Kluyveromyces lactis: one gene and its partner. The protein of the gene in region 1 interacts with the protein of each later gene in a biochemical or structural test. Links are inferred from orthologs where the notes say so. Each region holds a gene or a part of one and is shown on either strand. Other genes may lie near its edges. The genes, in order: KOG1 and TCO89.

Region 1 (3,934 bases):
GAGGCATAATGTCTTATGCAATGGATTGTGAATGTATAACTGACCAAGTAAAATGATACACCACTGTCTTAATAACGGAACTTCAGAATTTTCGATAAAGAAGCATAACTTGTTTACTAATTCAGTGCTGAAACAGTGTTTTTGACCAAGGGGGAAATCGCGAACAAAGCACGATAGGACAAATGCTGCCATTGCCTTTTGTTCATCTGTAGTATTATTGTTAGATAATAACGTCGCGTTATTATATGCTTGCTGCTGCTGCTGCTGTTGATACATCTGGTACCTCTGTGTTGAAGAACTTGCAGGTACATTCATAGTCAAGGGACTTCCAGCACTACTGACACTATGTCCTCTTGGGACACCAAACTCAGGTACAAGCATCTTTACAAAGTATTGGTATCCACGCTCCTTTATAAGTTCTGTTTGGGTATTTTTATAGTCAATAGAAAAAATTCTAGCCCAAATGAACACTAGAATTGGTTTCAACTCATGGGCAGGACTTTGTAGCAGTTTGGAAACATAAGGGAATATCCCAATTGAAAGTGATAGGTATACAGCCCATGGTCCAAGATCAAGAAATCTAGATAGCAGTACCAAAGTCCTAACACGATGGACTTGTGATAAGAGAACCTGTAGTACTATGGGGAGCTGCTCAGGTGGATGTCTTGAATTAGCCCCATATTTCACCCATAAATCAAATGCGGTTAAATTTTGCTCAAAAAATTTCGTAAATTGTTGCTGTTGTTGTTGAGAGGTAGTCGGGTGCGAGGCTGAATTACCGCTGGAGGTATGTGCTGTTGAACTAAAGTTTACCAATGACATGGAGCTCAGGTTTCCAATAGTATTTTTCGATTGCAGCCCGTCATTGGTTTCATTGCCTTCGTTTGGTTGGCTTATAAACTGTGATTCAGGGAAGTTTGAATTCTTTGCATTAGCATGAGCACTTTCCAGAAGTTTGGTCAATACTTCGTCGATTGCTAGATCCCACGATCTCCACATTGGATGATCAGCAATTGAGTCTGGTAACTCTGGGTCTGATACTGGATGACAATTGTACCAAGGCATTATTCTTTTGGCGAGTAAAAAGTTACGAAATAATGCCGCGACCATGAGGTCATGTCTGAATAGCTTCTTAAATAGTGCTCTTGGTAATGATGTCCATGCAATGGTATCTGTAATAGCAGTAAATATCCAATTCAATTCACCAAGGGGAGTCCTACGCTCAGACAATTTCCCCGGTATCGTAATGTTAGGCATTTCATTCACACCCGTCTCTTTTCTTCTAGGATCGTTATCTTGGAAGAACACGGAATATTTGGTGTCTTTCAAAGGAGATTGCATTAGAAACACCTTAACAGATATTTCTATTGGATTCGTTAGACAACAGGTGAAAAAATCTGCGGGTAATTCAGGGTTCATGGGCAATAATTCGTTGTTTGCACATGACGCTAATTGCACACATTCAGTGTATGCTTCTGTAGGTGAAGGTGATGCCATATCATGATTGCCTTCTCTATCGTCTCTCAATCTCTTTTGAACAAACTTTTTAAAGTTGGATACAATGTTACCAGCACTATTGCAATCCCAGACATATATACAAGGGGCTCCTAGCCAAGTTTGTAAATCATATAATGAAACCGGGATATACTGAGTATATCCACGGTTGAAAACCCAGATTTCTCCAGATGGTGTTGGTTGTGGTACACCATGACCGTTATAATGGAACAGAATTCTTTCGTCTTTCGAAGCCCTTCTCAATGAATTACAGAAGCGTTTCACATCTTCCACACAGGGATCTAAGCTCTGTTTATAACGAGTACGTAGTGATAGCGTCTCGTATTGACTCTGTAAGTTCTTTCCTATTTGTTCAATAGCTTTCTTAGAATCCTGAAATGCAAGGGGATCAACCCATGATTCAAGTCTTGCACATGGCTGAGTCTTAGTCACATCAGGAGGATCCACTCCCAAATTCAAACATAGTAATAATGCTGCTGCAACTGTCTTCTGCCTGTCCTTAACTATTTTCCAATCAGGAATTGGCTGGTAATATCCATCCTTATCCTCTTGCTTCACTTCCTCAGGAACTGGATTCCCATTGGTTCGATGCCTCTTATCATCGTAATAAAATATAAAATTGCTAGCATGCGCCTCCAAGAGTTTCTCACTTGAATACTGCTCTTCAAACCCATGTCTAGTCTCAGTATTAAGCCGTGTCAAAGGCTGTGGGCCGTAAACAACCATTGCTTCAGGATTGGTTCTATTCACAACTGGTTCTGATAAAAGTGGCAGTACCGGTCGATTCTGACAAAATTTAAACGCAGAAAATCGTACAAATAGTAATTACCTAACTGCTAGTCAATGAAGACTCGCTAAATTGACTTCAAACCCACTAAATGCTCTTCAAAAACCTTATCTTTCCAATCATTCCACACTTACTGACCAGTATCTGTATATGAGCTTACAGTATTTTTACGCAAACACTTTGAGTATATTGTTACCCGAATATTTTATATCAGGGTAACGTTGGGAAGATATCCAATAAAGTTATATCAACCACTTCAATACCCCCTCGATTGTAACCCAGATATTTAATAACCACAGTTTATCTAACTTTTACTGGTTTGCGCTTTCAAGTGCACTAAATGGGACCGTTATTGGATACTTTTATGTGTTTTTATTTTGATCTACGTTATAAATATGCAATTTCACATACCAAATGCTTGGTGAAATATTCACTTTGACAGGCGATGAGATGAGATAAGATCAAGGTTCATGCGGGGAACTAGTACTTATGAGTAGCCTGTTTTCATCTATTTCGACTGTTACAGCATTCTTTCAGGGTATCTGATCTATCACGAATATACTGCGTGCTCTTTATTCTCTGAGATGGCTTCTACTAATAATAATCCCAAAGTTCTATTGAAGAGGACGTTCTCACTGAAGGAACAATCTTCGCTAATACTATGTACCGATACGATGGCACAAAGCAGCCGATTTGTGGTTGAGGAATTCCTAGATAACATACCAGACGAAATGCCGATCGTTTTCGTATCATTTGAGACTCCAAATAGACCGAAATATGCACGCCAATTCATAGATGCGTCGGGGAAAACCACCCAGCAACTAGTTGCAGCATTACAACCATACCTACCGCAGCCACAGGAACAAGCTCCTAAGATGCATTTAGTGATCTTTGATACATTCAATTATATCGGTTCTGAAAGCTTGACACAATTCATATCTACCATTGCATCGCCATTTGTGACAATATTGGCTACATATCATCAGTCGATACCAGCCTGGCGTCCAGCAGAACTCCAGAACTATCCAACTGCGATCCAACTCTTGCAATTTATTGCTAATACGGTTATAGAAGTTACTCCGAAGACTTCCATAGACGAGGACGATTTGGATGCAGATTTAAGTAGATTTGTGATACCCAAGAACTTGAACAATCCCACATATTATATCACTCTAACGAACAAGCGAAAGTCCGGTAGGGCTATCAAGAATAAGTTCTTAATCAATTCGAAAACACATGATTATGAATATGTGATAGAGAAACAAGAACCAGTAACGGACGAAAGTCCAGAAATGTTTGAGGGTTTAACAACATTCAACTTGAACACTTCGGAGAAACAGAAGCTGGCAAAAGACCAAGTGGAATTGCCATATCTTGAAGCTCAATCTTTCAACAGTGGTGGTGCAATTGTGTATGAGTTTGAAAAGGATGATGATTATGACGAAGAAGACCCGTACGAAGATCCGTTCTGATCGCTAGAGTCTCGGGTTATTCTAGTTTCATTTAATTCTTTCTCGTGGTTGAGATTATCACAATTACATAGGAATTGTCTGTCTACTCTATATGTTCTATGTACTCATATAAGTGTACGCTTTGACAATCTGAAATGCTATTCATATTTAGCGCTTTTGA
Region 2 (3,874 bases), on another chromosome or scaffold:
CTCGTGTATCTTTGTTGAGAGGTGAAGGTGAGTTGGAAGGTGTTCCATTCATTGATGACTATATTATAAATGAGTGTCATATCGAGGATTATCTAACCCAATTCAGTGGTATCGAGCCAGGAGACTTGGATCCAAAACTGAGTAAAAAAAGTTTGGTTAAAAGACAAGTCTTTTACAGAAAAATGTGGTTACTACTTCAATTGGGATGTGTTTTTGTAGGACATGGATTAACCAATGATTTCAGACAGATCAATATATATGTCCCAGAATCTCAAATTAGAGACACGTCGTTGTATTATTTAAAAGGGAAAAGATATCTTTCTCTACGTTATTTGGCGTTCGCGGTTTTGAGAAAACAGGTGCAAACAGGAAATCATGACTCCATCGAAGACGCACATACTGCGTTGTTACTTTATAGAAAGTATTTGGAGCTAAAGGAGAAGGGTGTATTTGAAATGTATCTAGAGAACATTTATGATGAAGGAAGAAAGTTCGGCTTCAAAGTTCCTGACACGATTTGACGTAGTGATATAAAATCTTCTAAATAATACGTTTATAAATGTGCGGAATATATGCTATCTGGAAAATGACAAGATACTATTTGACAACCTAATACCTCATGTTCGATTTATATTTTGATAAATAGCTTCAATAATTCATTAAGATTATTGTTTTTTATTCTGAAAGTTACATTTAAAGTTTATATCTTAAAGTGAAACTTCTTAGAGAATGATGAAAATACTACAATATGTCGAGTGCATATCCGAAATGCTTGTGAATGCATATATACTTCTGTTTACACATGCTGTTGGTTCAAAACATGCTCCATTCTTCTATTTACTGCCCTAGTAGTGGGATGCAACGAGTTTACTGCTCTTTGATGTTGAGAACTGGACATCCGGGATGGACGGGTGTTTCGATAGGTACCGGGGTGCTGCACTGTCATGAGTTCAGGATTTGATTGAACTAGAGGATTTTCGTCCTTATTAAATTCTAATGTATTGCTGTTCCAAAGTTTGGTGAGCATACGTTGCATTTCCAACTTATTGGCAGTTGAGTTAGTTTCCTTGGATGATTTACCCTTGTCGTAATCGACTCCGAAGAAGCTTCCTGCGTTCTCACCCGTGCTAATTTTCTTTTGTTTTTGTATTTCAATACTTTGTTGTTGCGATATTCTGCTCAAAGAATCTGCCAACGGATTAGAGAATCTTCTAACATTAGTGTATTCTCTAGAAATTCTTTCAAATTCTCTTCTCACCTCCACATTCGAGGCCAAGAACACTGCATCAGGAGAGGTGTTTTGACTGCTTAGATCTTGTATTGAATTTTCTCTTTGCAACCATAACTTTTGTTGTGTTCTTGAGTCAGTTCCGACGTCTCCGTATTGCAAAAATGACGAGAAATCTGTCATGCCATTACCGCTGGTATCATTCTCACTGTACGATGGTTGCCGATAGAGTGATTGCTGCCGTGGACGTGACTGAGATACAGTGTTCGCACGTAAAAGATGGTCGCGTGAAACGGGCCTTGTCAAATGACTGGTTAAACTGGATATAGCTGTAGAAAAGTCGGCCTTCGATTGTTTCGGCTGCTGTTCTTGATGGCGCGGAGGAGATGGCTGATCAATATTGTCATTTTTCAACGAAGCTGCCAAATCTTGATTGATATAGTTAAATTTATTGGATTTTGTATTCTGTATCTTGAGAGATTTATCGTTATTATTTTCGGCTGGGTCGAGCCATGCTAACGAACTCTGACGAGATAATTGATCAAATCTTCTTTCCATTCCGGTAGACTGAGATAGAATCATATCAGGAACGTATTGTTCCGTTCCTTGTGTTTCAGAGTCGATATTAGAACCATTCAGAGCAGTGTTGTTGCTATCAGGAATCATATTGCCATTCTTACTGGAGGAGGAACTGTCATTACTATGGGGATCCTCAGGAAACTGTTCATCAGTTACAGCGCCAGCTTTTGCGAATGAATATCGCTTAGGATCATCACTACCAATATCCTCATTTGCTTTTTCGTTTGTTGCTGTATGTGTAATTCCGTCAATAATATCTTCTTCAGTATAACGACGCACTCCTTCATCGACGGCAGTGTTCGCTGCTATAATATCCTCATGCTCCGTAGTTTCCACATTATAAGATTTCTGCAGATTACCGTTTCCATTATTGAAATCAAACATATGTTGCCTGTGGCGTCTTAGACTATTCGTGTTCGATATAGTGTCCTGATTGCCAGGGTCAATAAGGTCATCTTCCCTGTCAGGAGCGTCAATTTTGTCATTATCCATTGGGCTCACAGCTCTTGATGAAATATGATCATCATCTGCATCAACTCTGTTTCTAAGCCGTGACGGTGGTTTATAGCTCAATGGCCTTTGTAGAGGTCTACCAGAATCCACTCTTAACCCAGCTCTGTCCTGAAAATCATTGATGCTATGCATCGAGTTCCTCTGAGTTGTTGAATTTTTGCCCGTTCCATTTATTGTCTCATCATCTGATGCATCATCTCCTTCTATATCGGTGAAAGACTCTACCTCTTCATCAGTCATAGAATCGTTATCCCCAGAATCGTGAAGATCTAGGATGACGGACTTGGAGTTCCTATCACTAATTAGGCCCTTATGCTTCATGCTGTGACTATTCTGGTGTAGCACAACTGGATGAGATGATGTTCTTACCAATGCCGTCATACTGAGACCACTGTGTACCGTGCGTCTGTTCAATGAGTCCGAACTCTTCGATTTCTTCATAGGATCGAAAAGTCCTCTATTCAATGCATCGTGGCTTCCTACCTTGTGTAATTTCTGTAAGTTCTTGAAACTGGTGTTGCTCTTGCTCCTAGATTTTGCAGAGAACTGTTTAGGTTTTCCATGTCCTTTCTTCTGCTTCATATACTGTGATAGACTGGTATCTGAATTAGTCTTCACAGGCTTCACACGGGAAATTGTGGCCATTGTTGTAAAGAATAGCCAGTAGCCTCAACTTAAGAATTATTACCTTGACTGTACAGAATTGTGGAAAAATTGCTATTTCCCACCTAAATGTAAAGTTTGGAATCACAGGCTATAGCAAGATTGTTGTTCCTGTGTTTGTTTGTAGTTAAACAAAGATGGATTGATGTGTGCCAGAATCTTAGTTTCAACTCTTTTTGAAAATAAGTATTAAAGGAGAAATGACCTTAAACTTTTGCATGGAACAAAGTAGCAGTGAGAAACGGTAGATTAAGGCTGCTGTAGCGCGTGCCAACGGTGAATCAGCAATTAAGATATCCAAGTTCTTTTGAAATTGAGAGGATAGAGCACTTTTTCGTAATGAATTTGTTTACGGTTGGTGATTATTATATCAGCAGAATCGCAAATTTCCAGTCCAAACCGTCGGACACCTCGATACAGGAGAAGTCGAGAGTAAAGGCATTGATTTTGGATAATGACACACTCTCTACGATATCGATGTGTACTACTCAAACCGAGCTATTAAAGCACGAGATTTACTTGGTCGATAAACTTGAGAATATTCACAGAGATCCAATGCCACATTTGAAATGTTTATGCTATTTGAAACCCACTGAGGATACGATTCAAGACCTATTACACGAATTACAGGATCCCAAGTATGGCGAATACCAGATTTTCTTCAATAACCAGGTGAGTAAGTCCCAGTTGGAACGGTTAGCCGAAAGAGATGATATGGAGGTTGTCACACATGTAGAAGAAGTTTTCCAAGACTACCTAATTGTGAACGAGGATGTCTTCACTTTAGAGATCCCGTTGTACAATCTTCTCCAAAATCAATTGGTATGGGATCCAAAGGGATTGCAGGAGACGTCTAACGGGTTAATCTCATTGCTACTATCGTTAAAACTA

What was found.
Region 2: the proteins of KOG1 (region 1) and TCO89 form a complex in vitro, tested with the Saccharomyces cerevisiae proteins (2 studies listed by BioGRID). The link is inferred for Kluyveromyces lactis from reciprocal best matches to the Saccharomyces cerevisiae genes KOG1 and TCO89.

The regions. Positions count from the first base shown.
Region 1 is NC_006037.1:829,544-833,477, forward strand, and holds the start of KOG1 (ubiquitin-binding TORC1 subunit KOG1), read right to left. Parts: upstream 2,242-3,934; coding exon 1-2,241. Other genes in the region: Elongator subunit IKI1, read left to right, coding at 2,887-3,774; GPI-anchor transamidase subunit GPI16, read right to left, coding at 3,912-3,934. UniProt on the Saccharomyces cerevisiae protein: Component of TORC1, which regulates multiple cellular processes to control cell growth in response to environmental signals. Nutrient limitation and environmental stress signals cause inactivation of TORC1.
Region 2 is NC_006041.1:1,673,523-1,677,396, reverse strand, and holds TCO89 (Tco89p), read right to left. Parts: upstream 2,966-3,874; coding exon 797-2,965; downstream 1-796. Other genes in the region: PAN2 (poly(A)-specific ribonuclease), read left to right, coding at 1-521; VPS45 (Vps45p), read left to right, coding at 3,323-3,874. UniProt on the Saccharomyces cerevisiae protein: Component of TORC1, which regulates multiple cellular processes to control cell growth in response to environmental signals. Nutrient limitation and environmental stress signals cause inactivation of TORC1.